Linked DNA regions of Caenorhabditis elegans. Changing the gene in region 4 together with the main gene of any one other region gives a genetic interaction. Each region holds a gene or a part of one and is shown on either strand. Other genes may lie near its edges.

Region 1 (8,753 bases), on a different chromosome or scaffold from region 4:
ACCGCAATTTGTGCATTTCATCTATTCTGGGTGGTTTATCGATGCACGTATCTAGCTTGTCACTTCGTGGCTTGTCTTCCAAAGAAATGATGTTAATAATATCGAAATGTGAATCTGGAGTACTGGAAAGTATTCACTTGGGAAACTGTAATATGCTTTGTTCATTAAATGAAATTTGCCAACTGGAACAATGGAAAATGACAAAGTCACTCAATGCTCATGGAGGGAAATTTTCTGTGGATTCTATACAACACTTGTTTCATTTCACAGAGTTTACTATCACTCTAGATACATTATCCACAGAAGACGCCATCAATGTTAGAGATGTAAGTGGTAGCCGAAACCTGGGCAGAAATAGCCGTTCGGCAAATCGGCAATTTGCCGGTTTGCCGAACATTAATTTGCCGGAAGTTTTTTGAGGGATGTTTTATAAGACGGAAACACTTAAAACTGTGCCTTTTTGAAATTTTTTGCTTAGTTTTCAAAATATATGTAGAAAAATTTATCGGATCTGTACAATTTTGCCGGTTAAAATTGAAATTCTGAAATTTCCAATAAAAAAGCCAAAAATTTTTGCAATTACCGTTTTCCGACAAATCGGCAACTTGCCGGAATTGAAAACTTACGGCAAATCGGCATCTTGCCGGTTCGCCAATTTGCCATAGGTTTTCAATTCCGGCAATTTGCCGATTTGCCGGAAATTTTGCTGCCCACCTTTTTATGATTAATCGACTTTCCGTAAAATCAAAAAAACATTGTTTCAAAAATATTCAAAAAATTAACAAAAGAAAATAGAACATTATGATTGTCGTATTCAAAAAAATTAAGATTTCAAGCTATTTTTCTAAACAATTTATTCAACTAACTATTCTAAAAGTTTTGCAAAACAGTGCAACAGAACAATTTTAGATTGCAACCCCTTAAAAATAAAATCTATAAAACACTTTAAAGAGAGCTGACAGTTAAACAAATCCTCAGGCGGCTGGAAAAATTTTATTTTTAAAAAAATTATGGATTTTGGCCCAACTAGTCTATCTCCAATATAATTTAGTTGTAAAATAAATTTTCAGGTGCTCGTCAAATCGTCCAATTTTTTGCACTGTTACATCCATCTCCCATTCTTAAACATTCAAGAAATCGCTACAATTTTCAAACCTGACTTTTCCAATCACTCTGCTGAAACATTCACAATGACACTTAAGGAAACAGTTAATGAATTTATTATTGACATGAGTCCCTACCACTTCAAGATTACCAATATACTTCATTCCTTTTAATCGGTTGTCATTCAATTTGATCTTGCATATTTTCGATAAATTTCTGGATTTTTAATGAAATTTTTAATGAAATTTTTTAGTACAAAATGCTTAAATACCTCTAGTGGCCCATAAAACCAACAAGAAAAACTTTCACTGTTTCCCCGTTGCTTTGAAATATTCTGCAAACATTTTTAGTTTTTACTACTTTTGTAACTAATATTGAAGAGTTCATTAAAACAGGAAAAGGCAAAAAAAACAAGGAAATATAATATTATAGAGATTACACATAATGTAAAAAAGGAGTGGGGTGCCAATAAAAGAGGGAAAATAGAAAAAAACTATGGAAGAAGTTAAGTATAGCTAGGTTGATTGTTGGGGTTATAATTGAACACACGGTGGGTTCTTGGCAGTAACAAATATTACGGGAACACTAAACTTTGAGAATGCGTATTGCGCATCATATTTGACGTGAAAGATATCTCGTAGCGAAAACTACAGTAATTCTTTTAATGACTACTGTAGCACTGATGTCAATGCCGTTAGAAACAAATTTATTCTCAAATTGCGATAGCGTTTTTTAATTTTCCTCCAATTTGTTCGTTTAGATGTTTTTTTTTAAGTTTTTATCCATTATTTAGAAAAAATAACGCAAAATCGGATCAGCGCTACAGAAGTCATTTCAAGGATTACTGTAGTTTTCGCTACGAGATATTTACTTTAGACACGTTGCGCAATACGCGTTCTCAGAATTCAGTAGAAATGAGTAGTATTTTTATGGATGTAATATGATTTTTTTGTCAAATACTGTTTCACTACTTGAGTTTTCACATTAGCAGATTTTTACTTCATAATTATCTATTTAAAGCGTATTGAAGTGGTAAAGAGTATTTGTCAAAAATGGTTACTAAATCCATGCGAGATTAGCAACAAATATAAAAAATAATCTTACAATTTGTTGACTGGTTGAAAAACTGATAACATTTTTCTGCTGGGAGATTTGCAGAACTGTCTGAAACGGTTTCGAGGTTCCAAGAATCAAATTTCTTCTCGAAATTTTCACGTAGAAACGAATCAATTAAAGGGGCATCTACTTCTTCAGGATATAATTTGAGAGATATATGCGAGTTAGGTTGAGCATCCTTTTGAGTCATCAATATTATTCCCGATATAAAATCTTCAACATTTCCTTGACTCATCATCTCTTGGCAAACTTCCTTCGAGAATCTTACAGTGATCTTATTGCTGGGAAAGATTCTGCGAGCGTTGGCAATAAAATTATCGAATAGTGATTTCCGATTCTTTATTTGTTGTTCGACTACTTTTGTGAGTTGTAGATCAATTTCAACGCCATCCAATGTGTATTTTGACCTTGGTTGAGTCCAGTAATCCACATAAAACTTGGCTTTTGGCACAATAAAATCAGTGTTACAATGGAAATAGTAAGGTATTGGTTGGTCTTGTCTTGGAACAATCTCCACAGTTTTCACATTCCATTTCTTAATCAATAAATCCAGAAACTCCCTTGGTAGAGAGTATCCAAATGCCTCCTTTTCGTACATATACATTAGAAAAATGGTTAATTTTGAGCATGTGATATTCGAATTGATAAAGTCTTCAACTACTGTCGGATCTTCTTTGTTAAGTATCATTAATTTGTAGAGTCTCCTGAAAATTCAGATTTTGCAAACTTATAATGAGTGAACCAAAATTAGTAAAATAGTTTTTGTTACTACAGTGCGTGTACTGCTTTTTTAAAAATTTTTTAATGAGAAAACTGAAAACTTTTAGAAAAGTTATTGTCCTCTTGCATTAAGCATCGTATTAACCTCGGATTTTTGAGTACATTTCGCGTAAAATCACGATTTTTCTACTATTTTCAGAAAAAATAATTTGGACTATAAGCGCAATTATGTATTGTTTTCCAAATCTGTGTAGCAAATTAAATCTTCATTCTAGCACATGTTTCACATTTTAAGACGTTAAAACTCAATAAACGCCCTGTAATTGGTACATATATCTTACAATAAACAATACTGAGAAAAAACGGTAAAACTTATTAAAGGTGGTGTAGTCGAATTTGAGACTATACTTAAAAACATTCACTATGCTCGTACAAGTCGATATGTAAAAGCGAAACATCACAAAAATTTTGCTAAAGGAAGTTATGAGCCTTCAAAGTGCCGAAAAAAATCTCTTCGTCCATCTAATTTGAATTTCGCGCGCAAATGAGCGCCCCCTCGTGTGTACTCCTCTCGGACAATCAAATAATTAATTTCTCGATTTTCGGCAATTTTCGTATTTTATCGTGATTTTTCATAGTTTTTTCGATGTTTTAATCGAATTAACGACGAGCCAATGTCTATGAATACAATTTAAACTGATTGATTGCCCAATGACACCTAAAAATAGACAAAACTCACATTTTATTGCATTATCCAGTTATTACTCCATTTTTTGAACTGCTTTACGTTAAATATTTTACAAAATATGATTTATTGTCTCTTTAAACATTAATTTCTAATAAAAACCCAGAATAGGCTCATTAAAGTACGAAAAATCATCTAAAATTGCTGAAAATCGAGAAATTAATTATTTGATTGTCCGAGAGGAGTACACGCGAGGGGGTGCTCATTTGCGTGCGAAATTCAAATTAGATGGACGGCGACATTTTTTTCGGCACTTTGAAGGCTCATAACTCGGTTTAGCGAAATTTTTGTGATGTTTCGCTTATACATATCAACTTGTACGAGCATAGAGAATGTTTTTAAGTATAGTCTCAAATTCGACTACACCACCTTTAATGGGCCTAATATAGTGTGAAACCTTTGGTCTTTTTTCAGAATTCGTTATATTTCCGATTTCTGCCCCTCCCCCAAAATTTTTTTGATATTTTCATTAATGAGACGTGAACTTTTTTGTAATTTCAGGCTTAGTATTGTTGTTTTCTAAGCTTAAAAATTGAAATAGTAATTAAAGAAACATTCACGTGTGAATTTAAATTGAAATATTGAGTGTTATAAAATTGAAAAACATTTGGGGGGGGGGACAGAAATCGGAAAAGTATCAAGAATTCTTCTTAATTATACGCTCTCTTTTTTGTTAGACTCATTTTAGGATATATAAATAGTCAGAGGATGACACTCACATTATTTTCTTCAAATGTCATAAACGTTGCTTGCAGCAAAAATTTGTGGAATTCGATCCAGGTGATCAAATTTTGAGGATGGTGTTTCAGTGCAAAAAGTATTAGAATGCTGATTCAAAATATAATACTTATTCCGTCTCCAATATGCTATTCTACAAAATTTTGGTCAAATCAACGTTTGAGGTATTTGTCGGCATTAGCCTCTGACTATTTTTTGGGGGATGGTTTGAGCTCTGGTTTTGACATGAGCTCATACAAAAATTGAAAATTTTCAAAATTTTCCCGGTTGTCGCGCACTACTGAATCAGAGTCTTTATCTTTACGTCAAAATTCATGTTTTTTTTTCAATCGTTGAGCTTCAACTTTAGATGAAATTTTCAAAACAATTGTTTTTTTTTTCAAACAACCTCTAAACTGTAAATAATATTTTCCGAAAACACCTGAAAATCGGCGATTCGATAATTTTATGTATAATTTTCTAGCTTTAAAACTCACATGTCTTTGACCTGTAAAACATCATAATGGTGTTTTAGTCTCAGAATAGCATTGAACATGTCATTTTGAACTGGTCCGAATACTTTGCAATTTGCAGCTATCTTTTCACATGGAATACATGTAGAAAAAGATATTTGATCAATACCAACAAATTCTTCAACCTTATCATCTAAAATTTCGAATACTTTAATGATTAAAGTTTAGTCACTTTACAAAACGATAGATAATCAAGACTTACAATCTGAACCTATCAATGATTTATGAATAACTTGATGAACATCGGTAATCATACAGCATACTCTTTTTGAGTCTTCGATTCGTATTTTGATTACCATAATCTTCATGGTTTGTTTTAAGAACCTGAAATGTAATGTACAACAAAACTCCTCGATTTTTATATTTTTATACCCACCTTGCATATTGGAATATGTTTTTCTTATTAAGCTTCACAGAATTCAAGTGGACTGAACAATCTGGACATGGAGAAATTTTATGGAGTCTGTCACAACGATTAAACTTGTGAAATACCACAGTTCGATTCTCTTTTCGAATCACATGAATGGCTGCCAAATTGAATGATTTGTTGACTAACTGAAAACTGGTTAGTCTTGGTTTAAATATTGTGTAACTACGGTGCAAGGGCATTAAGGAAACTAAATTTCCCGAGAAAATGGTTTCAGCAGAGAAAGCTCCCCGATGACTTACACGAAGCTCCAGTCGATTGTTTATATCGCCTTTCACATTTCTCAGAATATTGTCGACGATTGTTCGATTGTTAAACAATTTCAAGGCGAGATCATTGTCCTGAAAATGAGAGTTTTTTTAAAAGATAACATATTTTTCTATTTTTATTAATAATAATAACTTTGTTTCCTGCTATGTTATTCGCAAGGAGAAATCATCGAGCAACGTGATGAAAACGGTGTTTTCATTTCTTTGTGTGCCAATTTCGAAGATTTTTTGTGAACAAAAACAATAAAACTTTTCCTCTCAAGTTTTCCATTCCCATACGTAAATTGCAAAACCATTTTATTTATAATTGTTTCAAACCAGAATACTTTTGATTTCAAGCCGCCTAGGCGCTGAGAAAAATAAACTTTAAAAAAAAACGCTATACATATTTGATACCATTTGAAAAATGCAAATTTGGCACGCTCAACGTTAGGGTGTTACCATAATTGAGTCGCACCATGTACCTTTTTTTAATTATAGGGCTATGGTATTTAAATTCTCCTTTTGCTTTATTCAAGTAACCAAAAACATATATTTTAGTACAGTTGCGCGGTCATAAGGTGTATTAAAATACATTCCGTAAAATTACTTGAATAACTCGATTAAAAAGACACATTCATAATACAACAGGGTCATAAATTTGTTGATAAAAGCACCGCACCCTGTACTATAAGTTTTACTCACGTATAAATTTTCGAAAAGGATTGTGCAGCTTGAATTAGGAGTATTCATTAGAGATTAACTTTGACTGATTGTCTGAAAATAAATAAATAAATAAATATATATATATATATATATATCATTTACTATATATAAAGCGCTTATTCTGTGTGTCCATAGTTTGTAGTCTATGTAGTCTTTGTAGTCTCAGAAGTTTTGGCTTCTGGAGGGATAGTTAGTTGGGGTTAGTGTAGGGATATAGTCGGGGTACTGTAGTGGTACAATAGTGGCACGGTAGGAATACTGTAGGGTTACGGTAGTTTCAGAAAAAATTAGTTTTAGACCCAGAAGTCGGGGGCCGCGCCAGAGGTGGGGTCCACGGCTGGTATGTATATATATATATATATATATATATATATATATATATATATAATATATAATTTTAATGGAGGTATAGCAGAAAAAGAGCAATAACTCAAAAAATATGTTTTGTTGGATATTTCATTTTTCTCGGTATTTGTTTTTTTAAAAAAAAGGTTTCTAAAATTAAACTATCCAATTTTGAAAATAAAATTGATTAATTGTGCAGCAGATGCATGTGACCCCCAAATGTTTCCGATGAATAAACCTCCGTAATGGTCAGCAATAATCATTATAAATTTAGAAGTCTTTTATAAAATGTATAAAATAATCTAATAAACGTTTATTATACTAAGAAAATATTATTCCAAAACCTAACAGCGAATGTAAATATTTCAGCTCGATTTTACACTTTTAAAATAAAACCTATTGCATTTGAAAGAAGAGTTTTGAAATATGTCACTACAAAAAATTCGAGAAGCTCTTTGGAAAATTTTTTTTTGAGAAAAATAGGAACATTTTCTTGGTCGAGCTATGCTTCTGTGTTTACTGCCAACTTTCATGGAAGTTTTGGTCTGAATAACTTTGGTTAGGATTGTCTGGAAATAATTTTGCAAAAAAATTTATAAGGTGCTAAAATGAGCGAATATTATAAAAAAGGTTTCAAATATACAAATATATGATCAAAGTAACTTATTTTTTTAAAAAACACTTTAGTAAATAGGAACATGTATGTACATACTTACTATAGTAAAATATGAGGGAGTATAAGAATATTTGCCGTAAAAACTGAAAAGCAATGTTATTGAGAGTAAAAAAAGTATCTAAAAAGCCATTTATATTTGAAACGTCGGTATTTAATACATAAGAAACTAATGAAGAGTCTACTCCGCAAACACTGCACAATGGAAAAAAGTGGGAAAGGACCTATAGCAGCGTAATAGATGACGTCATATACTATTGGCATTGGGTCGTTACTTTTTTTTTCGGCTGTCGGCTGACGCCGACAGCCGCACAGCCCTGGTGGACAGCTGCATTAGAGACCCATTTCTTTTCAAGTTGTATTTTTTAGTAGGAACAACTGAAACAAGCGATTCCAATTTTAATTTTTATAGCTACACATTTTATATGTATGTAAATATGTTTTATATATTGATTTTTCAATCAAAAAAATTATTTTACAATTAAAATTAACAGGGACAACAAATATAGGGCCAGCAGATCCAGGGTGATAAGGTGAAGAATTTTTTTTTTGATTTTGTTTCAATAATAAATACGCTAATAAAAAACTTAAAAACAGCTTGAATTTTCGAGAAAAATCCAATTTAAAAATGCGACTACTGTAAAAATTAGTGTATGTACGTAAGGTTTGCCCCCCCCCCCCCCGTGAATACTAATTTTCGGACAACTGTTTAGATGCAATACTACTAGAGGGTGCAAAACTAACAGAGGATGCCATATTTATTTTCGAGCAAGGCTTTTCTGACACAATTTCATCAATTTCAATAACAAAAATCGGACCAAAATAACACATTTTACCACTGATACGCGAAAATCATCTAAGTTGTACTCATATTTTACCAACTTTGACTTGTTACACCAAGTCTGTAAGAATTTCCCTGATTTATAGAACAATGCTATACTTCAAATTTTAGAGCCTCAATTATAGAGAAAAAATGAAGGGGTATAATTGCATGCAACACTATTAGAAGAGCAACACTATTTTTCAAGAGATAATTTTGATACAATACTAATAGATACACCTTACTAACATTGGAATAAGGTAATTAACAAAAATAAAATGAAAAAAAAAAACATAATACTTAAGTTTTCTCCTAAATTTTCGGTTAAATTGAGTTCTGTTTGAATGGCTGCTGCGGTGTCCACCAGAGCGCATTTTATCTACGTACTTATCGATTTTCTTCATGATACCCACTAATGTCTTTGTTCTGTATAACAGGAGAATGCAAAGTGCACCATGAAGAAGAAAAACCCTACTGTGTGTTTAATTGTCCACTTTCATAATAATGGAAAAATGGAGACATTAAACAGAAATACAAAATTAATTGTGAATAAATTGTGATCTACATGTGTCCTACTCA
Region 2 (6,375 bases), on a different chromosome or scaffold from region 4:
AACATCTATCACAAAGTCCATAACAAATTTTCGTGGAAACGATTCGATCATGTATCCAATTGCATTGATTCCACCAGATCTTGCATACCAAGCAGGCCCGTGACACAATTTGAACACCTTCTCCATCAAGTATTTGCACATTGGAACTTTCGACATTTGATCAATATCGGGAAGTGTAAGCGAGAGAGTCTCATTGATATGACGAAGAGACATGACACCAGCAATGATGAAGCTTGACGATGTTTCAGAGAGACAAATAATCAGAGCATCAACCATAACAGACGAGTCAAGGCACAATGGTAGAACACCTTCCTCTTCTGCATGACGCATCCATCCATTTCCACCAATGTATTCGAGTACTCCAATCAACGCAAACTGGCGGAGAACTTTGATAAAGAATTTGCTATAGACATGCCGGAAACCGTCTTTATTCCATATTCCGTCTGAAAAATTTAAAATATAGATCTGATTAGAGAGAAAAGAACTTAAGAACTTACAAGCCATTGCGAGAAGTGCATTCACAAAAAGCTCTCGATCACTTTCCCTCGGACATGTGTATACTTCAGTGGTACGATTGTTTGGATCAAAATCTTCAAGAAGTTTCTTGATAATCTTCGGAAGATTTGCACTTGGAGTAATTGGGCTTCCTGAAGATCCAAGTCCGGCTAACAAGACGGCTTTCGACAATTCCATACACCATTTCTTCATATGAGTTGACGGGATCATTGCAGGACTTGGATTAAGGATCATATCAGCTGGATATCTCATCTGATCGGCAACGACTCTCATCAACTCGGACAGTGGCAGGTGAATGCTGTGATTGCCATCGAGTCCCATCCGCGAGAATTCCATATTGATGTACGACTGAACAGTCTGTTAATAGGATCAATGTTAGAACTTAAAACGAGGAAGAGAATAAACTAAATAAACTTACGTCGCCTAAAGTGGCTACTTGAAGAATTTGCGGTTGATTCAGAAGTTTTCGATTGGCTCCTCCGAACTTTCCGAGGATCCTGAACGCTGCTGTCATCGATGATGTATCTGGAGCTTTCGATACAACACGCCAGAGGCCTTGCATCAAAGCTCCACGGACAGGAAGCATATTTTCGAGAAGATATTCAGGTTGCAAGTTATCCACACATAATTCCAATGTTCTCAATCCTTGTGTAACTATGTTCGGACTCCCATTCATCGCACACACCAGTGGATCCATCAGAAGCGGTAGGTATGGCAGAAGGGAACTGAGTCGAACTGGCACAGTCAAACACAACTCGACGAAGAGCTCACGCATTTGAATCCGATGTTGACATGACTGAAGATTCTGGATTTTTAGTGTATTACCGATATATCAAAAAATGAAACTCACCGTCAATTTATTCAAGAATTGAAGAAGATTTGGCAGTAACTGCAGGAACTTTCCATACAAAATATCCTGAGCGCCACCACCAATACTGCGGAACAATGCACGAAGCAAAAGGAAATAGTTGAGAGGTTCACGAGCTGTTAATGCCAAGACAGTTGACTGTTTGAGAATCTCTGGGAGGTATGAAGTGAGCATTTTATCTCCATGAAGCCCAGAGCCATTGGCTCCGATGGCGGAGAAGATAATTTTGAAGAGCTTCACATATAGCATCGTCTTGTCATTGCTAACTTCCAGCAATTTCATTCGAGACATCAAGAATGAAAGCATCGTAGATGCGAAGAATGGCACTTCATTTCGAACCAAGAAGGTGTTCACCATCAATTGCAATGGATAGTTCCGATTGTAAATTCTTTCAATCAAGAAATCCATATACTTTTCGAAGATTTCCCGGAATATCGCATGGTCGATTGTTGTAAAAACGTTTGCCAACGACTCCAGAGCATCTTTCTCATCTTTTGTCCGCATTGAAGAATGCATTTGTGGTTGATTTCGAGTTGTTGGAAGCACGAATACATCCATACACATTACACCATATCGTAGAAGACGTTCGAATAAATCTCGCTCCTTCGAACAATGATACATATCCTGTGATGGCCGGGCGATTCTCAATTGTCCTGTCACGAATTTACACGTATGCATTATATACTTCACAAGATTTCGAGCTTCAACAATTGCCAATGGAGGAGGTGTCATCGTTGACATGGCGGTTAAAATCGCTTCGGGAGACGTTTTCTTTCCCTCTTTTGTTGGCGGAGGAAGCTTGTTCGGATCTCCACCACTCTCATCTGCATCTTCCGACGTGGATGGTTCTGATGCCAGGAATTCCAGCTCTTCAACTGAATCAATGGAGAGCCGACGGATTCTTCGTTTCGGTACTCCTCGTATAGTGTCCTTTGGGATATTCATTCCAGGTTTCTCGGCGTCTCTCTCATAACTTTTGTATTCGTAGTCTATTTCGGTTCCGTATTGTTGGAAGAGAATAGGCATGTGATAGACTGCAAGAGTTTTGAGCTTGGCCACGTGCGACTCCAGGATTTCAATGAGCAGATCACGAGTCTGAAACTTATTTCGAAGTGAGATACGATTATTGATAGAATAAGTCTTACGGTATCATGTGAATCCATTTTGCACAGAGATTCGGCCAGTGAGTTGAGCAGCCGAGCAGACATAATCTGGACTTGAGAAGAGTTGTTAGGATCGTGAAGAGTGCGACAGAATACGAAAATCACGCTGAAATTTCAACATTTTTCATCAGAAAGTCTTATTCAAACTTACTGTGTGATCATTTCATAGTCTATAGAATTTCGCATGTGATGCAACAGATCTGCTAGCATTTGATACATGAAAACTCGCAAATGCTCAATCGCAGTGAATCCTGTTCCCAGAACAACCTCCTCAGCGATGAGTCGAGGTAGCATTGGAAAGAATTTCGACTTCATTTCTCCAGATGTGAAATACTTCAAAGCCATCAGAACTTCTCGTCGGACACTTATCAGATCAGCCGGGCACCGCTCGAGCATCTGCATTGTTCCCGACACTAGAAGCGGTCCATTTTGCATGATAAGATCCATAAACTGAAAAATAAAAATCAGGATTACAGAAAAAAAACTTGAAAAAACGAAACTTACCGCTGGAATCTTAGCCATAATGTTGACGAATGACAGGAATCGGGACTGTGCACTGACAAAATCATCGGTTATTATTTGATTTGTTTTGAGTTTATCCTCGTCTGGAACTCTGACATTTAGAAAATCAAGACCAAGCCTCATGAAATCAAGCGCTTCGGTTTGGATCGCTGTTTTGAAATGTTGATAGAAGAAAATCACGAGATACGGAACCTCCAGGAGCACCTTCGTTGACTGATGAGCTGATGGAATCATATTGTATTTTAATGGCGGTTTTCCTTCCGTTCCGTTGAGAAGAACCGTTTGTTGATAGTAGCAAGTCTTCAAATATTCAGTGATGACTTGCTCGTCGGAGCTAGTTGACGGTGGAGCTTTATGCTCTTTTATGTTGAACATATCACCAGCTCGACCACTCGCCGTCAGATCAATGACCATTGTTTTGAAGGAGACCATTATCTGTGAAACCTCTCCGCAATATTGCATTTTGCCGGTACTTCTCCCTTGATCGGTGACAATTTTGATAGCCAAATTGGCATTCTCCTCATTTTCCACGGTGATTAGCCTCATCATCTGCTTGATAATTTCTTTGCTATGATGTTTCATGGCTTCTACGTTCGAAAGTCGAAGAATGATTTCAAGCATTAACTTTCGAAGCTGTTGTGTATTGTTTTCAGCAATGAACTGTGGACTTGTGTTGCAGAAAACTTGTAGGAACGAGAGAATGAGCCTCTCCACGACTTTCTCGTGCGAACTTAGTGTGAAATGATTTTCGATTGTGCTCCAAATCTCCTGCAACCGAACAAATTGATTACTTAACACGAATTATTGAAACTAACTTGTAACATTTTCAATTTGACATCATCTCTTTGTGAATTATCGGCAAGATTTTGAATTCTCGTTTCCAGCTCTGTTAGGTGATTACTCCGATCGGACTGCACAGACCGATAGCCTGGAGAAGCCATAGCCGGATCCATTTTGTATTAGTGACCAGCACTGAAGATACTTCTAAACTATTGAGCTTTGTGCAACTATTTGAATAATTTATCTGAAACAAGATTTACGTGTTTAATTCACTAAATTGCGAAGGAAACAGATTATAAAATGAAGAATGGAGTAGAATGAACTATTAGGAAGTGAATGCAACAAGAAAAATCAGTCAGAAAACGCTGAAATTATCGGAAAACTGACATTATTTCAGCAGAAACAAAGAAACAACTAAATTTCAAACGAGAGCGAATTGTCTGCTGACGCGTATGTGTGTGTGTTGGCGCACTCGCGGTTGTTGGCGCATTTCACGTGCATTGCCACGAACGAGAGAGGAGATTTTATTGAATAAAAAAGATGTGACCTGATTAATATTTGACCCTTTCTTGACTTTTTCTTTTATTTTTATGATTATTAACAGTGTAATAACAAATTTCAGACACATGGGATCAGTTATAACCAAGGAAACGGTCTTACAGGAGAATATTTATCTGAAGAAACTCAGCGGTTTGGAACCTGTCGACGATTATGACCCATTTTGGAACAAACTTCTCTCTTTCAGTCTCAAGTTTGATGATGACGACGAGTAAGGATTAAAATTAGGCAAAAGCTTTAAAAATGTTATAATCGTTTAGAGACACCCGAATCGCTTTGGAATCTGCTTTAGATGATCATCTTCAATGTCTAATGTACAATACACAAACAACAGGAAATTTCGCTGCATTTATTCGACTTTTCCTTCGCAGAGCCACAGAACTAAAAACATCAGAACAATGCGAAAAGTGAGTTGGAAAAAAAAATCATCATTATATTTAATTAAAGCTTTTTCTTATTTCAGTAAAATCTACTTATGGCAAACATCAAACGCTCTTCTCATTCTTCGTTACATCGCCAGATTTTTAACTCAACGTATGACGGAAAAAGAATTCGTGAGGATTTTCGCCAAAAGTCATGAGAGTACGGAAACCGAATCGTCGTCTACATCTTCCTCGTCGGATGAGGAAGATGATGACGAACAGAAATCAGAAAACGAAAATAATAATGGAGGTAAATAAGCTTCATTTAAAAAAAAAATTCAATAATAATCAAATTCTGACGTTTTCAGCGACAAAATATATCCCGATAGTTTTTCAAAACACTGCAGAAGAGTTCACGTATGAGCTGGTTTCGATTTTAATCAATATTTCTGTAAAGTGAGTTTTAAATTATTTTTTAAAAAATTGAATTAAAATAATTTCAGCGAAACAACATTGGCAATCCATGTCGAAGCAGTTCGATGTCTCCTAACTCTCCTGAGCTCTCAACTATATAATGAATCAATTGTGAATACTTCAATTGTCTTCAGATTCTTTATTGATGGATCATGTGCGAAACACGCAGCTTCGCTCACTAAAACTCTTCTTCTCAATTATTTGATCCACAATTCAGAGTATCACATGACTGTACAAAAGCCACAAGAGAGCATTGTTTTTGGATTAGCTTGTATGTCACTGAAAATCTTTTTTAATTCTTTATTAAATTAAAAAAAAAACACGATTTTTAAGCATCAATGTGGTCAATGGTCCAAATGGCAACTGGTATCGACTCCGCAGAGGAAGAAAAGAAGCCCCCACTTACTCTTGGAAACTTAAGCATCCTGCTTCTCCTCAATCTTTCATGCCATCAACCTCTCAATTCATCCAATCCATTCAAAGAAACCCTTGCTCTCTTCCAAAATGCTCAAGAAGTATCCACATTGCCTACTCAGATTGTGTCGTTCAAAATCGATTATAATGGATTATACGAAAGATTGTGTGCTACCGCTGGCCAGGAACCTCCGATGCTTCTACTCTACATGCTTCTACAGGCGAACTCGGGATTCCGGAACTATGTGTTGTCTCGGATCAACCTCGAGAATCTAGTTGTTCCTGTTCTTCGAATTCTTCACGACGGTGTCGCGACATCGAACAACTCTCACCATGTTTATCTTGCATTGATTGTCGCCTTGATTCTCAGTGAAGATGATATTTTCTGCAAGATTATACACGAGACGGTGAGTTTTCACTAGAAATGCTAAGATTATATTGAAGTATATATTTGCAGATGATCAAGGATCTCGGCTGGCTGGACAGTGATTTCAGTGTCCGCGAGATCTCTCTCGGAGGTTTGACAACTCTTGTGCTGGTTCGAGCAATTCAGAAGAATGCTTTGAAAACTAGAGTTAGTTGTTGCTACCAAGGGTGTCATTTTTCAATTTTTTTTTCGATTTTTTGACGTTTTTCAGTGGAAATCGAAAAATCGAAAAAAATGTTCAGAAAATTAACCATAAAATATGATTTTTTATCTAATTTTGTTTATATTGAT
Region 3 (8,454 bases), on a different chromosome or scaffold from region 4:
GGCGGTTATTATTTTAAAAAATAACAAAAATTGAAACATATCACCTTCTGGGAAGGCCTGGAAGCTCGAAACTTCCACAAATGTGCTGAAAGTTGTCAAGACCGACCAAATTTAGTTTTTCTACCTTGCTTCAATGAAAATTATCAAAATTAAAACATAAAATCGAAAGGATAGTTGAAAACTTGTCCAGGAACAGAGGAAAACTGGATTTCCATGTGCAAAAATTAAATACCCTATCTCCGCGAAAAGTGATCGGATCGAGCTGTGATTTGAGATTTCATTTTAAATCATTCTATAAATTCTAAATTTAACGTAAAAACCGGAACGATAGTGGAAAGTTTGTGAATTTTATGGAAAAATGTAAATTGTTTGAAAGAAGTGAGCAAGACTAACGGAGATTTGACCGAAACAATGGTGAAAACACACCAAATATGAAAAGGGGAGGTGGGTGTGTGTGTGTGAGAAAAGGGGGGAGGTGCAGAAATTTTGGCAAAACTTTAATTATCGTTTTTAAAATAAAGAATAGAGATATCACAATGAACTTAGATACAGTGGATAGGTATTGAAAAGGAGAACTTAAGTTTCGAGTCTCAAACGTTTTGAACATAAACTCGAATTTTCCTTCAATTTAAAGTGGTTTTCGACCAGTACTTCGGTGTGCGCAAAAACAAGAGGGGTGTGGTTTTCCGCTTGTGGAGCCGACAGGATGCTCCCAAATCAACCCCCTTTTAGATGAACACACGTCGCTATATTTTGTGAATGTAGAGAAAAAAGAATTTCAAAAATCGGTTCCGTGAGAGCCGAGATATAAACGTTCAAAATTGTATTACATTTTTTCGGACATTTTTTGAACATTTTTTGAACACCGAAAACGCGTGTATGAGGCAAGATGGGGGTTTTAGGAAAGAGGCAGAAGCCTGAAATCTGCGATTTTTGGGATTTTTTAAAACATATTTAGATAAAAATTAAGCTCAGCCCATTTCGTGGCTTTCTGTTTTTCAAATTTTTGGGAATTTGTTTTCTACGAAATCTAATTTTTTAAAATTAGTTTTTTGTTGATTTTTTTCTAGTTTTTTAAACAAAAATTAACGAAAAAAAATTTTTTTTTTGAAATTTCAATGCAAAACGTGGGCGGGACTCAATAGGCCACGGCCATAAAATGGTCAGCCATTTTGTGGGCGTGGTCTACCAAGCCCCGCCCATTTTTTCGAACATTTCACTTTTTCGGAAAAATTGTTTTTTTTTGTTTTTCTCTTCAAAAATTTAAAAATTTTCCCGATTTTTCGACAATTTTTTAAAATACATATATATATATATATATATATATATATATATGAATGTGTATTGTTGATAATTTGATAAGAACAATAAATGAATAAATAAAAAATATAGGAGGAAATGAATAAAATACATAACAAAAATCGAGAGATTCTGTGTGAAAATTGGTGAAAAGAGGATATTGGAAGAGGGAAATTCGAAAAAAAACACAATTTTTTTTTCGAAAAATGGCCAGAAATGGGCGGAGCTTAACTTTTTCGGTTTTATTTTTTTTTAAATTTAAAAAAAGCGAAAAAGCTAAGAAGCCACGCCCACAAAATAGACAATCGCGGATTTTTTTTTTGAATTTTTTCAGAATAATTTTGAGATCAAAATAAAGCCTCGTCCATTTTGTGGGCGTGGCCTAACCATTTTTTTTTCAATTTTTTGGGGAATTTTTTTCTGCGAAATTTAATTTTTTTTCGAAATATAATGAGATATTTTGCGTTTAAAAAAATACATAAAGCCCCGCCCATTTTGTGGGCGTGGTCTGTTAGGCTCCGCCCATTTTACGGGTAAAAAGGTGGTGTTTTTCAGAGGCGGAAAATTAAAAAATAGGGTAAAAAAGTAATAAATTAAAGATTTTTGTTGGTGAATTTAAATTTCCCGGGCGACCATTTATTCTTCCATTTTTTCTTCCGGCTTTTCCTTATTTTCAGTAGTAGTAGTAGTGGTAGTAGTTTCAATTGCTCCATCATCTGTACTTGGCTCTGTGCCAGCAGCTGGTGTTTCTGTGCTCTCCGCCGGCTTCTCCTTGACATTTTGCTCTTTTTCTTGCTCCGGCGTCTTCGGTGTCTCCTCCATTACCAAATTTCTTAACAGTGGCGCTGAATTCGCTGAAAAAATTGGAAAAAATAAATGATTAGCACACAGCACAATGATGATTGATCACTTTTTGATAAGAATGCTGCGTGTCCCCGCAGGGGTTTTTTATTGAAAATTTTGAAAATTTGGTTAAAAATTCCAATAAAAACCCCCGGCGGGGACACATTTTTTACACAAAAATTCGCAGAAAATGTGCCCCCGTAGGGGTTTTTTGCCGAAATTTATGACATTTTTGGGCTAAAAATTTAAAAAAAAACGGTTCAGAGGCTGAAAATGTGTCCCCGCAGGGGGTTTTATTGGAATTTTGTACCGAAATTGTTAAAATTTCAATAAAACCCCCTGCGGGGACATATTTTCTGCCATTGAACCGTTTTTTTTTTAATTTTTAGCACAAAAATTGCTGGAAAATGTGTCCCCACAGGGGGTTTTTATAGAAATTTTCGACAACTTTGGTCTAAAAATGAAAAAAAAAGCCTCAATGGTTGAAAATGAGTCCCTGCAGGGGTTTTTTATTGGGATTTTTAACCAAAATTGTCAAAATTCTAATAAAAACCCCTGTGGGGACACATTTTCTGGCATTGGACTGTTTTTAGCGCAAAAATGGCAGAAAATGTGTCCCTGCAGGTGTTTTTATTGGAACTTTCTACAAATTTTGGGCTAAAAATTAAAAAAAAACGGTTCAGAGGCTGAAAATGTGTCCCCACAGGGGTATTTAATAGAATTTTTAACCACAACAGCCAAAAACTTCAATAAAAACCCCTGTGGGGACACATTCCCAACCATCGAAGCGGTTTTTTTTTTCAATTTTAGCCTAAAAATTGTCCCCACAGGGGTTTTTATTGGAATTTTTGACAATTTTGGCCTAAAAATTCGAAAAAAAACAACGTTTTTTTCACATTTTCACCGGAAATTTGCGATATTTGAGCTAACATTCTTCAAAAATCTCAATAAAATCGAATTTTTCAGCGTGTTTTTTGCAGATATTCACAATTTTGAGTTGATGTTTCAATAAATTTCAAATTTTCAATTAAAAACCCTGTGCAAGGGGGACACATTTTCTGCCAATGAAGGTTTTTTTTCACTTTTAGCCTAACAATTGTCCCCACAGGGGTTTTTATTGGAATTTTTGACAATTTTGGTCTAAAAAATTAGAAAAAAAAAACTGTTTTTTTTTTCAGATTTTCACTGGAAATTTGCCATTTTTTAAGATAAAATTCTTCCAAAATCTCTCAATAAAATCGAATTTTCAGCGTGTTTTTTCTCTATATATTCACCATTTTGAGTTGCTGTAGTTTCCTGTTTCTTCTTATATTCTTCATAAGCTGTCGCAAGCTTCTCCTCCCATTCTTTAACAGTTTCCTCAAACTTTTCCTCATCTACAACTGGTTTTTCACTAACAGCTTTCTTCAATTGCTCTTGGAAGTCGTCACTGCCCTTTTCGATGGCTCTTTTTCGATTGTCATGGGCTCTTTCCAGTCTGAAAGATGGATAATTTGGGAAAAAAATCGATTTTTAAAGATAATTTTTAGATAATTTTTTGAAATTTATTTGAATTTTTAACTCGAAATTTCAGATTTTAAAGCTTAAAAAATGTAATCTTTTAGAAATTTTAGATTTTTAAGCTTAAAAAAATTATTTTTTTTAGAAATTTCAAATTTTTAGACTAAAAAATTGAATTTTTAAGAAATTTCAGATTTTAGGCTCAAAAATTCGTATTTTTCAGAAATTTCAGATTTTAGGCCTAAAAATTCGATTTTTAGATTTAGATAATTTTTTTGAATTTTTTAACTCGAAATTTCAGATTTTAAGCTTAAAAAATCCAATTTTTTAAAAGAAATTTCAGATTTTTAGACTAAAAAATGTTTTTTTTAGGAATTTCAGATTTTAGGAAAAAAATTTGATTTTTTTGAAGAAATTTTAGATTTTTAGGCTTAAAAATTCGAATTTTTGAAGAATTTTCGGATTTTTAAGCTTAAAAATTCAATTTTTCTTGCTATTAGAATTTTCAGAATTTTCGGCTAAAAAATTCAAGTTTTCGCTTTTTTTTTTGAAAAAAATAAATTATTTCGATTTTTACGATAAAAAATCGATTATTTAATCCAAAAAATAACATTTTTTCGGTTTTTACTCCAAAATATCTCCGAAAACTGAAAAATTACACATTTTGCACATGTAAAATTTGATTTTTTGCTGAAAATTTCAATTTTAAGATCAAAAACTGCTCAAATTCCGTGAAAAATTGGGCAAAAAATCGATTTTTACAGCATTTTCATAGTGAAATTGTATCAATTTTTACTTTGTGAGCTCTTCTTCAAGTTTGCTCTGATGAGTACCAAGAGATGTCGCCTGTCGCTTCAACATCTCCATTCGGTGGTGTGGAACTACCTGAAAATTGGGAAAAATTGAAAATTCTGGAGAAAAATAGAGAAATTTGAGCTTTTTGAGCAAAAAAATGCAGTTTTTTGTGATTTTTTCTTGAAAATTCATAGTTTTAAGCGATTTTTCTTTGAAAATCCTAGTTTTCCGAGATTTTTGCTCAAAAAATCCAGTTTTTTCACGATCTTCTATCGAAAAAATCAGATTTTTTAAAACGATTATTGCCTGAAAAATTCAAATTCCCTTCGAAAAATCCACTTTTTAACGATTTTCATTGAAAAAATTCAGTTTTTTAACGAATTTCACGACTCAAATGCTCAATTAAATGGATTTCTCTCGCTTTTTCCAGCTTTGTCAGTATTTTCAAGTTAAAATGAGCAATTTTTGCTCAAAAATTAAATTTTTTGTGACTTTCGCGTAAAAAATCCACTTTTCAAACGGTTTTTGTCTGAAAAATTTAATTTTCATTCGAAAAATCAAAATTTTCCGAATTTTCGTAGCTCAAATTCTCGTTTTAATGGATTTTTCTCGCTTCTTCCCAGCTTTTTCAGTGTTTTCAAGTCAAAATTAGCATTTTGTGTGCAAAAAATCCAATTCTCTGAGATTTTTGCTAAAAATAAGCAATTTTTAACGATTTTCGTTTAAAAATTCAGTTTTTACGATTTTGTTGCTGAAATGCTCGCTTTAATGGATTTTTCCCAGCTTTTTCAGTATTTTCAAGTCAAAATGAGCATTTTTTGTGCAAAAACCCAATTTTTCAGGATTTCCAGAATCCCTTACAGTTCTTGTATCAGTAACGATGCTCGGCGAGAACAAATCACTAATCAATCGATTATTTCGTTCAAATCTGACACCCGCAAGACGTCGGGTGCTCAATTCATTGCCACCGTCATCCTCGTCAACCGGTTGAATTACAACTCCGCCAGCGTCCATTCGGCTTCTCGACATTTTTTCGTTGTTCTTCGCGCGTCCCTGGAAGAAAATGTATTTAAAAATGTATTTTTCGGCTGAAAAAAGTCACTTTATTAATCATAAAATTGGAAATTCCGTTTCCTTGGAAATGTTTCATTTGTTTTTCGTAGTCTGCCTGAAAAATAATCATTTTTTACGGGAATTTCTCGTTGATTTTAACTTTTTCAAGCTCATATTCATGTTGATAATGCGATTTTTCACCGTCCGGAAGGTCCAACCAATACTTTCCAATCATTTTTCCAATATCCCAAAGCTGGGCTTCTGGATTCTCGGCGCGAACTTTTGGCCACATCTTCCGACTGTATCGCATGTAGGGTTGAAGTGGTCTTTCTGGTACTTTTGGACCACGCGATGACATATCTTGGAACTGAATTGGTGATTTTTTGAATTTAAAACCAAATTCTTGCGTGAAAACTCACATTTCTCGCCGGTGTGGCTTGCGGATGACGGAAAGATGACATTTTTCAATCTGAAATATTAAATTTTCAAAAACTAAACAGAAATTCGACTGGAAAACCCAGAAGAAACACCAAGAAAATACAAAAAAATCGATTTAATTTGAAAATCCCCTCAATGTCCAGTGGGGCGCGCTTGCTCATTGTAGGTGTGGTTTTGTTTGGCAAGCCTGGCACGTGGTTTTTGCAAGAGTGCCGCACGTGGTTTTTTTTTAATTATTATTTTGGAGAAAAAGCCAAAAAAAAAGGAAAAAAACATCAAAAAACATGAAAATTGCTGAAAAAGCGAAATTTCATTAATTTTCCAGGAATGGCAAGCCAAAAAGGAGCGCCGACGTCAAAAAGCTTGTACTTTTCGCCGATTTTACTGTATTTTTCTGTTCTGGATTTAATAAAAACTCGATTGGAAGCTGAAAATTACAAGAAAATTAGGAAAACTTTCAGAAAACATCGATCAAATGAAAATCCAATGAAAGACTGAGGAAAACTATTAAAATTGGCAGAAAAATTCAAATTTCTGAAAAAGTTTGCATCAACTGAATTTTTTTTGCAAAAAAAAACATTTTTTGTGTATTAAAATTTAAATTTCGCGCCGAAAAAGTGTTGTTTTTTGGCGCGAATATTGAATGGCCTAGTTTTTGCAATTCGGCCACCGCGGCGATGATGGTAGGTGCGCCAAAGAGTACACTAAATTTTTTGTTTTAATTTATTCATCCAATATGATTATTAAATAGTTTTTTTCGAAAAAAAAATAGAGAAAGGAGGGAAAATCGGGGGGGAATACCTAGAAAAAGCCAAAAAAAAAGGGGTCAAAATTAAGAAGATGTCTGTGGAAACCCGTCGCTACAGATCGAGAACTTGTGAACGTTGCACACGAGATTCGATACCTTCGGGGGGATGTGCTTACAACAAAAAGATGAGCCACTGAAAAACAATAGAGCACATTTTCAAACAGTGTGTGTCACAGGTGGGGGAGAAGAAATCTGAGAGAAATGATGACAATTGAGAGAATATTATCACTCTATAGGACATTATCATAATAATTATGAGTAGTTTTCGAGAACTTTTCACAGGAAAAACGAACGAACGAAAAATCAACAAATAAGTTACTACCTAAAAAGAAATTTTGAATTTGAATTAATAAAATATCCTATATATTTAAAAATTGTCACAATTAAAGTTCAAATACCAACAAGTTGAGAGGGTGATGCATTTGATATTTGCCTTATAGCGCCACCGTAATCGCCTGCCTGGTTATGCCTCATAGAGGAAACCAGGAGCCGTACGGGAAGAGCCAACAAAGATAGGCAAATTTTCAATTTTTTCGGGAGCTGCAGCACAAAACAACGTGGACAACGCGACACACACACGTAGGAAAAGTAGTGGGGGTGGGGGGACTTTTTCGAGGCACACACCACTTTTTTTTAGCGACGAGCAGTTACAACAAACTGCTTAAGGAGAGGGGGGGGGGGGGTGGGGGTATGGGAATTTTGCTTTAAAAAATCGAAAATCTCGCAAAATTTGGTTTTTTGGGATTTTGTTTTGAAATTTAAAATCGCTTTTAATTTTGGTCATTTTTTTGGGGGGAAAAAAAAAAGAATTTTTCCAATAATTTCACAAAATTGGAACTTTTTCCAAATTTCGAAAAATCTGGATTTTTTTTTCAAAAATTGTAAAAGGAATTTTCCAAAAATTTGAAAAAAATTGGAATTTTTTCAGAATAATTGATTTTTTTTCAAAAAAATCGAAAAATAGTTTCCAAAAATTTCAACAAAAAAAATGATTTTTTTTGAAATTTGTTTAAAAAAATGGAATATTTTTCCAAATTTCAAAAAATTGGGTTTTTTTTTTGGAAAAAAATCGAAAAATCAGTTTTTTTTTCCAAAAATTCCAAAAAAAAAATCTAAATTCTCGCAAAAATTCGGTTTTTTTTTTTGGAAATTGTGTTCAAAAATTGATTAAATTGGAATTTTTCGTTTTCAGCAACAAAATTTTGGCGAAAATTGAAAAATTGAGTTTTTTGGGACTTTTTAAAGCAAAAACAATGGGGAAGAAATATACTAAATTGGGTGTAAACATTAAGATTTTTGGAAAGAAAAAAATGGGGGAAAAATGAAAAAAAAAAGAATAATTTTTGGAGAAAAAGGAAAAACGATTAAAAATGAGTGGGCGAGAGACATGGGCGAGTCATTTAACTCCACCAATCCTGTTGAGGCTGAGCACGTTGCTGTTGTTGCTGTTGGCGACCTCCACCACCGCCTGACTGGAATCCACCGCCTCCACCGGAACGTTGTCCACCGCCTCCGAAGCCACCGCCGCCTCCGTTGCCGCCTCCGCCGTTTCCACTTCCACCTTGATAACGGTGATCGCGACCTGGAATTTGATGGTTAAAATTTTTTTTTTGGAAAATTTTTTGGATTTTTTAAAATTTTCGATTTTTGCCACTTATTTAGGAAAAATCAATAAAAATTCGGAAAATTTTGTGCCTGGGTCTCGCCACGACAAATTT
Region 4 (9,045 bases):
AACGTAGTCATCGCTGGCCGGTGGTGGCTCCAGATGCTTCATCGCTGGGACTGAAAAAATTGGAAAAGTAACATTTTTTTTGCTGTAAAAAGCTCTTAAACTCAGAAAAACCCACAAAAGAACCACGGAAAAAAATCTAGAAAACTTCCAAATGCGACCAATCAGCGATTCACTCCGCCCACTTTTCAACCAATCAGAAGAAGTGGGCGGAGATCGAAGACGCTGATTGGTCGTGGATTTTGGAGGAAATGCCAAAATTTAAAAATCAAGCATTCTTTCGGCATTTTTTGTGGTTTTGTGGTTCAAATTTTGATTTTTGGTGAAAAAATATTTTTTTTTTAAATTTGAAATCAAGACTAAGTGAAAAAGTTTTTTTTTAATACTAGCAGTTTTTTTAAAATAAATTTAAATTTTTTACAATTTCAGCTCATAACATTTCGGAAAGAAACGTATCGCCTTTTCAATTAAAATTTTCTAAAAAAAAAATTTACAACAAATTTTTCGGATTTCTGAACACTTTTGAGGAGTTTTAGGGTTTTGAATTTTTTTTTAGAAAATTTATTTAAAATTTAAGTTTGTGGGGCAAAAAATGCTGGAAAAACGTTTTTTTTTCAAACTTTTCGTTCATAAAATGCGAAAAATAAAATTAAAAAGAAGAGGTAATTTTCCCAAATTTTCCCAGTTTTTCTGTAATTTTTAAAAGAATTTTATGTAATTCAGTTTATGCTTTTTTTTGTGAAAATTTTCTCAAATTTTTTGGCGGATTTCTAGGTTTTCCGGTTTTTTTTTTCAATTTTTTTTGTTAAAAAACAGTTTTGATGTTTTTTTCGCTTAAATTTCAAATTTTCATGTGAAAAAATCTGAGAATTATTTTTCGATTCGAAAAACTCTAGAAAACGGTGCAGAAAACAAAAGGAAAATGTTTTTTATCAGAAAAAGTAAATTTTTTGGATTTTTTAGCTTCGAAAAAACGTCCATAAAAGTCCAGTTTTTTTGGTGTTTTCTTGGAAAAAATGATGATTTTTCCAATTTTTTTTTTCAAAATTCTTCATTTTTAAGCTATTTTTTAGCTACTTTCAGTGAAAAAAATCCATTTTTTCTCAAAATTCTGCTTTAAAAAATAAGCAAAATTTCCAGCAATTCAGCAGCACCTTTCTGCTCAAAACCAAACATTTCATCATCATTGATCGTCCGCCGATTCCGATATCTTGAATCATCCATCATTTCATCTGGAGCATCAGCGTCAACGTGCTCTTCACCAGGCCGTTTTGCTCGTTCTCTCTGTACAAAATCATGTAGCTCATGGTTGGAAACGATGGCGGCTCGGAGGGGTCCAGAGGGATCTTTCAGGTAACACCAAGATGGTCCACCGTGTATCTCGACTTGCTGCAATTTTTTTTATTGGAAAAAATGGGGAAAAAATAAAAATTGAAAATTTTCGATTTTTTGTTGAAAAAAAAAATTTTTTCCGGAATTTTCTAAAATTTATCAAAAATTTTATAAACAATTTTTTTAAAATTTTTATTCTGATTTTTTTTTAATTGTCTTGTTTTTTAGAGCCAAATAGAGCGAAAATTGCGTTTTTTTTTTTGAAAATCTTTTTCAGTTTTTTCAGGAATTTTCTGAAATTTATCGAAAAAAAATTCTGTGAATTTTAAAATCAATTAAAAAAAATTTTTTTTCTGATTTTTAACAAAATATTTTGAAAAAAAACTATTTTTTTTGTATTTTACGACAATTTTATGAAAATCGTCAAATTTCCATTAAAAAACCGCCAAATTGTGCGAAATTTACAAAAAAATTCTGCTTTTGCTGAATTTAAGAAACAAGTGTAATTTTTTCAAAATCTTTTAGAACAAATAATTTGTAAATTTTTAGAATTTATTTTTCGTCGTTTTTCAGCCAAAAATTTATTTTTTAAATACTTTTTTACAAATTTGCATACAAAAAAAGCGAAAACTGAGAAAAAAAAAACACAAAAATTTTTTGTGTAGATTTACGCAGCTTGTGTAGTCCCCGAAGAGAAGTTTTTAGTTTTTTTGGCAGAAATTTCGGTTTTTGGACAGTTTTCTAGGTTTTTATGCATTTCACATAGAAATAATGCTTTTTTTCGATCAAAAATCGACTTTCTGCAATTTTTTTAAAATTTCATTGGAAAAAATGGGGGAAAATAAAAATTGAAAATTTTTTTTTGAAAAAAAAGAAGATTTTTCCGGAATTTTCTAAAATTTATCAAAAATTTTATAAACAATTTTTTTAAAAATTTTTATTCTGATATTTTTTAATTTGTCTTGTTTTTTAGAGCCAAATAGAGCGAAAATTGCGTTTTTTTTTGAAAATCTTTTTCAGTTTTTTCAGGAATTTTTTGAAATTTATCAAAAAAAATTCTATGAATTTTTTAATAATTTTTGTTCGGATTTTTTACAAAATTTTGTGTTTTTAACAAAATATTTTGAAAAAAAGTCTATTTTTTTGTATTTTACGACAGTTTTACGAAAATCGTCAAATTTACAACAAAAAAAAAATGAAAACTCGCCAAATTTTGGGAAATTTACAAAAAAATTCTGCTTTTTTTTTGGAAAAAAAGAGCATTTTTTTCCTTTTTTTTTTTTCTAAAAATTGAAAATGTTTCTTCTTTTTTTTACGTTTTTATTTAATTTTTTCGTTTTATCAATTTTTTATCCAAAAAAAAAATTATTTGTGTAGATTTACGCAGCTCGTGTACTCCCCGAGGAGAGGCTTTTACACTTTTTCAGCAGAAAATCAAATTTTTTGAAGAATGTTCGTTATTTTTGCTAAAAATCAGGGAAATTTAAGAAACAAGTGTGATTTAAAAAAAATTTTTTAGAACAAATGATTTGTAAATTGTTTAAAATTATTTTTCGTCGTTCTTCAGCCAAAAAAAAATTTTTGTTGATATTTTTTACAAATTTGCATACAAAAAAAAAAGCGAAAATTGAGAAAAAAAACAGGAAAATATTGTGTAGATTTACGCAGCTCGTAGTCCCCGAGGACAAGCTTTTACACTTTTTTGACAGAAGATTCAGTTTTTGGGCAGTCTTCTATTACGGGAACAATATATCATGAGAATGCGTACTTGGTGCATTTTATTTGACGCGCGATATCTCTTAGCGAAAACTACAGTAAGAACTCAAATAACAATAGATATTTAAGCATTTACTGTATGTAGTTTTCGCTAAGAGATATCGCGCGTCAAATAAAATGCACCAAGTACGCATTCTCATGATTTATTGTTCCCGTAATAGGTTTTTATGCATTTCACATAGAAATAATGCTTTTTTTCGATCAAAAATCGACTTGCTGCAATTTTAATTTCATTGGAAAAAATGGGGGAAAATAAAAATTGAAAATGTTCGATTTTTTTTTTGAAAAAAAAGAAGATTTTTCCGAAATTTTCTAAAATTTATCAAAAATTTTATAAACAATTTTTTTAAAATTTTTATTCTGATTTTTGTTTAATTGTCTTGTTTTTTAGAGCCAAATAGAGCGAAAATTGCGTTTTTTTTTTTGAAAATCTTTTTCAGTTTTTTCAGGAATTTTCTGAAATTTATCGAAAAAAATTCTGTGAATTTTAAAATCAATTAAAAAAAATTTTTTTTCTGATTTTTAACAAAATATTTCGAAAAAAAGTCTATTTTTTTGTATTTTACGACAGTTTTACGAAAATCGTCAAATTTACAACAAAAAAAAAATGAAAACTCGCCAAATTTTGGGAAATTTACAAAAAAAAATTCTGCTTTTTTTTGGAAAAAGGAGCTTTTTTTTTCTTTTTTTTTTCTAAAAATTGAAAAAGTTTCTTCTTTTTTTTTAACATTTTTATTTAATTTTTTCGTTTTATCAATTTTTAGCTGAAAAAAATTATTTGTGTAGATTTACGCAGCCCGTGTACTCCCCGAGGGGAGGCTTTTACACTTTTTTTAGCAGAAAATCAAATTTTTTGAAGAATTTTCGTTATTTTTGCTAAAAATCAGGGAAATTTAAGAATTTTTAAAAAATTTTTAGAACAAATAATTTGTATTTAAATATTGTTTAAAATTATGTTTCACCGTTTTTCAGCCAAAAATTTATTTTTTTGATATTTTTTTTACAAATTTGCATACAAAAAACACAGAAAAATATTGCGTAGATTTACGCAGCTCGTGTACTCCACGAGGAGAAGTTTTTACACTTTTTTGACAGAAATTTCGGTTTTTGGACAGTCTTCTAGTTTTTTATGTATTTTAAATTAAAAAATTCATTTTTCTCATCGAAAATTCTTAAAAAGAATTAATTTTGAGCAAAAATCAGCGTTTTTTTCAGTTAAAATCGGGTTTTGTACCCGTTTTTTCCAAGAAAAATATGAATTTTCCACAATTTTCCAGGTTTTTCCATTAAATTTTCATTGAAAATTCCAATTTTCGCGTCATTTTCTTCTCTACCTCCGGATCACTGAGCCGAACTTGTGTGCCGACTCTCGTTTGAATTCCAATCGTAAGATCTGAGCCTTGAATCTCGGCGAGCTGTGAACGGAGCACATAGCTGAGCTTGTTGTTCTCCACGGATTCTGTCATGTTTCGGAGGCTCTGAAATTTGAGAATTTCAGCGGTTTTGGCTTAAAACTGTCGAAAAATTGACCAAAAATTTCAAAAAAAAATTGTGGAAAATTTGGCTCAGATTGCCTGAAATTTCCTATAAATTTTCAGAAAAATTGTCCGCAATTTTAATGAATTTTTGACCATTTTTCAGCGAATTTTCCAGAAGTTTTGACTGAATTTTTAAGAAATTTTCTGCCAAATTTCAGCAGTTTTGGACCAATTTCAAGCAATTTTTAGCCGAAATTTCCAGAATTTATTTTACAAAATTTTCATCATTTTGGCACCATTTTTATCTTGATTTTCTCGAAATTTCATCCATATTTTTTTCAGAAAATTGGAGGAAATTTTGGCAAAATTTCAGCAGTTTTCAACGATTTTCAGACTAATTTTTCAGGAAGTTAAGTCAAATTTTCAGCTTTTTTCAGCGATTTTCAGCCCCATTATTTCTAAATTTCGGCTCAATTTTTAATGATGTTCAGCCATATTTTTCCAGAATTTTCGACTGAATTTTTCTATTTTTTTCAGGACTTTTTGGTTAAATTTTTTCCAATTTCCAGCCTTATTTCCAGTGATTTTTGCTCAATTTTCTATCAAAATTAGCCAGTTTTTGCTCAATTTTGATCAAATTTTTAGCGACTTTCAGCAAATAATTCTCAATTTTCGGCTGAATTTTTCTGAAATTTTTGGTCATTTTTCAGCCAATTTTTGCGTAAATTTGGCTCAATTTTCATCGATTTTCAGCAAATTTTTCATCAAATTTTCTGGAAATTCGCTACCTGCTGAAGCCATCTTTGACGTTGCTCAATGAGCTCTTCTTCCTTATTTAATTGCTCAATTTCAGCTTTTAATTGTTCCATTCGATCTTCTTCTTCTGTTGTGGCCGATTGTCGTTTCCCTTCCTTCACGTTTAGCATAAAATCACCGCCTCTGAAAACAAAAAATTGAGTTTTCCGGGGAAAAATGTGCAAAAAAGCGGTTTTTGAGCCGGAAAATAGAGATTTTCACCGAAATTGGAGCGAAATTGAGGCTATTATAGAAAAATTGGCTTTGAAAATGTAATTTTGTGTTAAAAATGACCTTTTCTTGTGTTTTCTGGCTGAAAACCCGATTTTCCACGTAAAAATCTGAAATTTTCAGCAATTTTCATGTTTTTAAGCTGAAAAATAAGGATTTTGCCACAAAATTGAGCTTTGAATTGAAAATTTAACTTTAAAAAGTGATTTTGTGTCAAAAATGAAATTTTCATATGAAAATTCGATTTGTTTCGGTGAAAAATCTCAAAAATTAGTGTTTTAGAAATCGAATTTATCGATTTTTACAGGAAATAGGAGCTATATTCCAAAAAATGTGATTTTCATCCATTTTGCCGGAAAGCGCCATTTTTTGGCTGAAAATGCGATTTTTCACGTAAAAATCTGAAATTTTCCGAAATTTCTTGCATTTTAAGCTTTTTGAGCTGAAAAATCAATATTTTGACACAAAATTGATTTTTTTTCTAAACATGTCATTTTTCTTGTTAAAATACGATTTTCCGCCGATTCATTGAAAAACGTCATTTTTCCTGCTGAAAATTCGACTTTCTTACTTCCACTGTATCATATTCTTGCTTCTTTTCTCAATAAGACCAATTCCTTCGAGAACATTCGTAATATCGTAGATTCGTCGCTTTTGCCGGACATTGAGCGCCTCGGCGGCCTAAAAAATACGAAAATTGCGAAATTCACGATTTTTTTCAAAAATACAGTGTTCAAATCGCATCTTCCATACGGTGAGTACTGAATCATTCGAATAAATCGTTTCGCCAACAATCCCAACGATTTATCGGCTCGTGTGCCCATTTGTGGTTGATCCAGGTCCTCATCCTCGTCGAAATCTGGAAATTTCGGGGTTTTCGGCTTAAAATTCGACAAATATTGTACCAAAATCAAAGTCAAGCTCATTGTCGAGCCCGAGCATCAAATTGTTCTTTATCGAGCTCTGTTTGGTCATTTCCAGCGCTTTTTGAAGCTCCATGTCAGATAATTGGCGGAAGCCGGGGTCTTCCATGTCGTTGTACGAGTCTTCCATGGCTGAAATGCGGAATTTTAGTTGAAAAATCCGATTTTTTGGTTAAAAATGAGCTGAAAAACGAGAAAAATCAAGAAAAAACGAGAAAAACCAAGAGAAATCAATTTGAATTCCCCTCCAAAATGCGAGAAATGATGAGGTTTCGTCACGGATTAGAGACAATGGGAAAGGTGGAGACGCAGACGAGAAAGGTGCAGTGGAGCGCGCTTGCACTCAAATTTCCGCGGGAAAAAGTTTCGCTTGAATGAGAAGATAAAAATGAAAGAAGTACGTGGTTTTTTGAATGTATAATAAGGGGAAATTTGAATTTGAAGACAAAAAAAGTTAGAACCCAAAAAAATTGGGCCCCGTTAGGTATTTGGCGGCAAAACCGTAAATTCAGATAAAATGGGGTTATTCAAGTAGTGTCGTGAAATTAACCATCACTTTTTTTTAGCCATCACTTTTTTGTTTTTGTGGGCTCAAATCAGTTTTAACAAAAATTGAATTTGTAAAATTTCGCCTCCTTTGGTATTTTCACGTGGTGTCAGGCTGTCCCATGCCGGTTTGATCTACAAAAAGATTGTGACGTCACCACGTTATTAAAGGTGGAGTAGCGTCAGTGGGGAAAGTGTTAAAAACTACTCCAATAGTGTAAAAAAGATCAAATATCATAATAAAACTTCAAAAAAAAATTTTTGGCAATTTACCAAAATTTTGAATACGAGCTTTTGAGGAAATTTAAAGAAATGTCGCATGTTTCGACCCCTACAATGTTTTAATACGAATACACATGAACTGTTTGAAAAATGGCAAAAATAATTGAAAATCTTCGATATTACCGTTTTGCCATCGCCAAATACATAAGAAGGTCTAACTAATAGTTAGGCTTAGGCTCAAAAATTTGGCCTAAAATTAGTCTCAGGCTTAGCCGCAGGTCTTAGCTTTCTGTTTAAAATTTCGATGACTGCTACGTAAATTTCGTATGCGACTCCTGAAATTTCTGGAAGTAAGACAGTGAAAAGCCTGTCTGAATACACATGGTTTCAAACTAAGACTACATTTTATTTAAAGCCAAGGGTTCAAGCTGTGCCTACATTTTACAGGTTCAAGTTGGCGGCCAGTTCTGAAACACCTTCGGTGTCTGATTCTCATACTCTCTAGTCAGCTGGTGCGCCTGCGTCTCTGCGCTGTCCAACTAGGCCACTAGTCACAGAGAACTGTGTTGAAATCACTTCATTTTTTCTTCAAATTTCTCAAAATGTCATCACTCTCCGACTTGCCAATCGAACTTATTGAACAAATTTTGAATAATCTGGAAGCTTTGGAAAGGTGAGTTTTCCTTGTTTTTTTAAAGAAAAAAAGCATTGAAAATTCAGGCTAATCGCTCGAAAAGTGTCCTACAGCTTCCGAGCAATAATCGATAACCTCGGTCCAAATCTGAAGACGGTTCATGTAAATTTTCATGAAAAATTTTCAAGACTAATTCTCGATGAGAACTACGGCGGGGTTACCTATGAGCAAGTTGATGGAGCCTGCCAAGTTGAATATAAGAACAGTGGCCGAGTACATGCTGGAAGGAACCACGTTGAAATGTTGATGGAGGACTTGAAGAGCTTGGTGAAGTACCCTGAAGTTGATGAATTTCTGATACAGCTGGCTACCAACAATTTTAATGAAAGAAAAATCATTTTAAAGGCAATTGAGTCATTTTTCGAATCCTTAAACTTCAAGTTAAAAGCGAAAAAAGTGATTATCGATGACTTCACCGCCCGTGAAGTTTCTGAAATACTTCAGAAGTTCGAACCTGAAATTCTCGAAGAAATAACTCTCCAAGCTCAATTCCTAAAGTACTATGAGCCGATAAATGGCGTTGTGGAACTCGAGCAATGGAAGAAAGCTAAAATTCTGAACAACCGGTCCAAGTTTCTGATCCCTATTAAGCATATTGTAAATTTCACTCAATTTGACATAAATGTGAAGGATCTGACGACGGATGATGCATTGGAGATTAGAGATGTGAGTCGAAATCTGGATTTTTTTAAAGACTAGGGCTTCCATGGGGGACAGACGCGGTTTTAGGGTCTGGCGCCTGCCTTCAACCTGTCTGCTTGACACCGGCCTCTCGCCTTATTTCTACACTATTGCTAGAAGTCAAAAGCTTGGTGTTTAGAACACACGATCTTTCGAAATACGGTTGTTCCTCCGCGGCCGACACATTTCGGGTTCGCCTCACTATACAGATGGTGTCAGGCTGTCTCATTGCGGTTTGATCTACAAAAAATGCGGATATATTTTCCCAGAAAAATTGTGACGTCAACGCGCTCTTAACCACGCAAAATCAGATAAGATGTCTGGATCTCACCTCCCGCATTTTTCGAAGATCAAAGCGAAATGGGACTTT

Evidence for each region.
Region 1: of efl-1 (region 4) and pha-1, changing one enhances a phenotype caused by changing the other (phenotypic enhancement), as found in Caenorhabditis elegans (one large-scale study listed by BioGRID).
Region 2: of efl-1 (region 4) and trr-1, changing one enhances a phenotype caused by changing the other (phenotypic enhancement), as found in Caenorhabditis elegans (one large-scale study listed by BioGRID).
Region 3: of efl-1 (region 4) and swsn-3, changing one enhances a phenotype caused by changing the other (phenotypic enhancement), as found in Caenorhabditis elegans (one large-scale study listed by BioGRID).

The regions. Positions count from the first base shown.
Region 1 is NC_003281.10:11,129,409-11,138,161, reverse strand, and holds pha-1 (F-box domain-containing protein), read right to left. Parts: upstream 6,364-8,753; coding exon 6,316-6,363; intron 5,704-6,315; coding exon 5,312-5,703; intron 5,260-5,311; coding exon 5,138-5,259; intron 5,069-5,137; coding exon 4,900-5,068; intron 2,925-4,899; coding exon 2,180-2,924; 3' UTR 1,485-2,179; downstream 1-1,484. Other genes in the region: fbxa-128 (DUF38 domain-containing protein), read left to right, coding at 1-326, 1,071-1,277.
Region 2 is NC_003280.10:11,671,835-11,678,209, forward strand, and holds the start of trr-1 (Transcription-associated protein 1), read right to left. Parts: upstream 4,094-6,375; 5' UTR 4,023-4,093; coding exon 3,885-4,022; intron 3,838-3,884; coding exon 3,052-3,837; intron 2,998-3,051; coding exon 2,699-2,997; intron 2,654-2,698; coding exon 2,530-2,653; intron 2,486-2,529; coding exon 1,367-2,485; intron 1,322-1,366; coding exon 935-1,321; intron 874-934; coding exon 498-873; intron 444-497; coding exon 1-443. Other genes in the region: C47D12.2 (Dymeclin), read left to right, coding at 4,476-4,618, 4,668-4,814, 4,871-5,079, 5,138-5,225, 5,273-5,514, 5,577-6,064, 6,115-6,231.
Region 3 is NC_003281.10:2,762,715-2,771,168, forward strand, and holds swsn-3 (HMG box domain-containing protein), read right to left. Parts: upstream 5,966-8,454; 5' UTR 5,952-5,965; coding exon 5,910-5,951; intron 5,858-5,909; coding exon 5,651-5,857; intron 5,606-5,650; coding exon 5,540-5,605; intron 5,491-5,539; coding exon 5,299-5,490; intron 4,528-5,298; coding exon 4,439-4,527; intron 3,620-4,438; coding exon 3,417-3,619; intron 2,154-3,416; coding exon 1,936-2,153; 3' UTR 1,296-1,935; downstream 1-1,295. Other genes in the region: ATP-dependent RNA helicase laf-1, read right to left, coding at 8,137-8,318.
Region 4 is NC_003283.11:16,959,012-16,968,056, forward strand, and holds the start of efl-1 (E2F/DP family winged-helix DNA-binding domain-containing protein), read right to left. Parts: upstream 6,665-9,045; 5' UTR 6,663-6,664; coding exon 6,515-6,662; intron 6,469-6,514; coding exon 6,338-6,468; intron 6,291-6,337; coding exon 6,181-6,290; intron 5,523-6,180; coding exon 5,372-5,522; intron 4,584-5,371; coding exon 4,440-4,583; intron 1,387-4,439; coding exon 1,152-1,386; intron 51-1,151; coding exon 1-50. Other genes in the region: fbxa-90 (F-box domain-containing protein), read left to right, coding at 7,903-7,973, 8,021-8,660.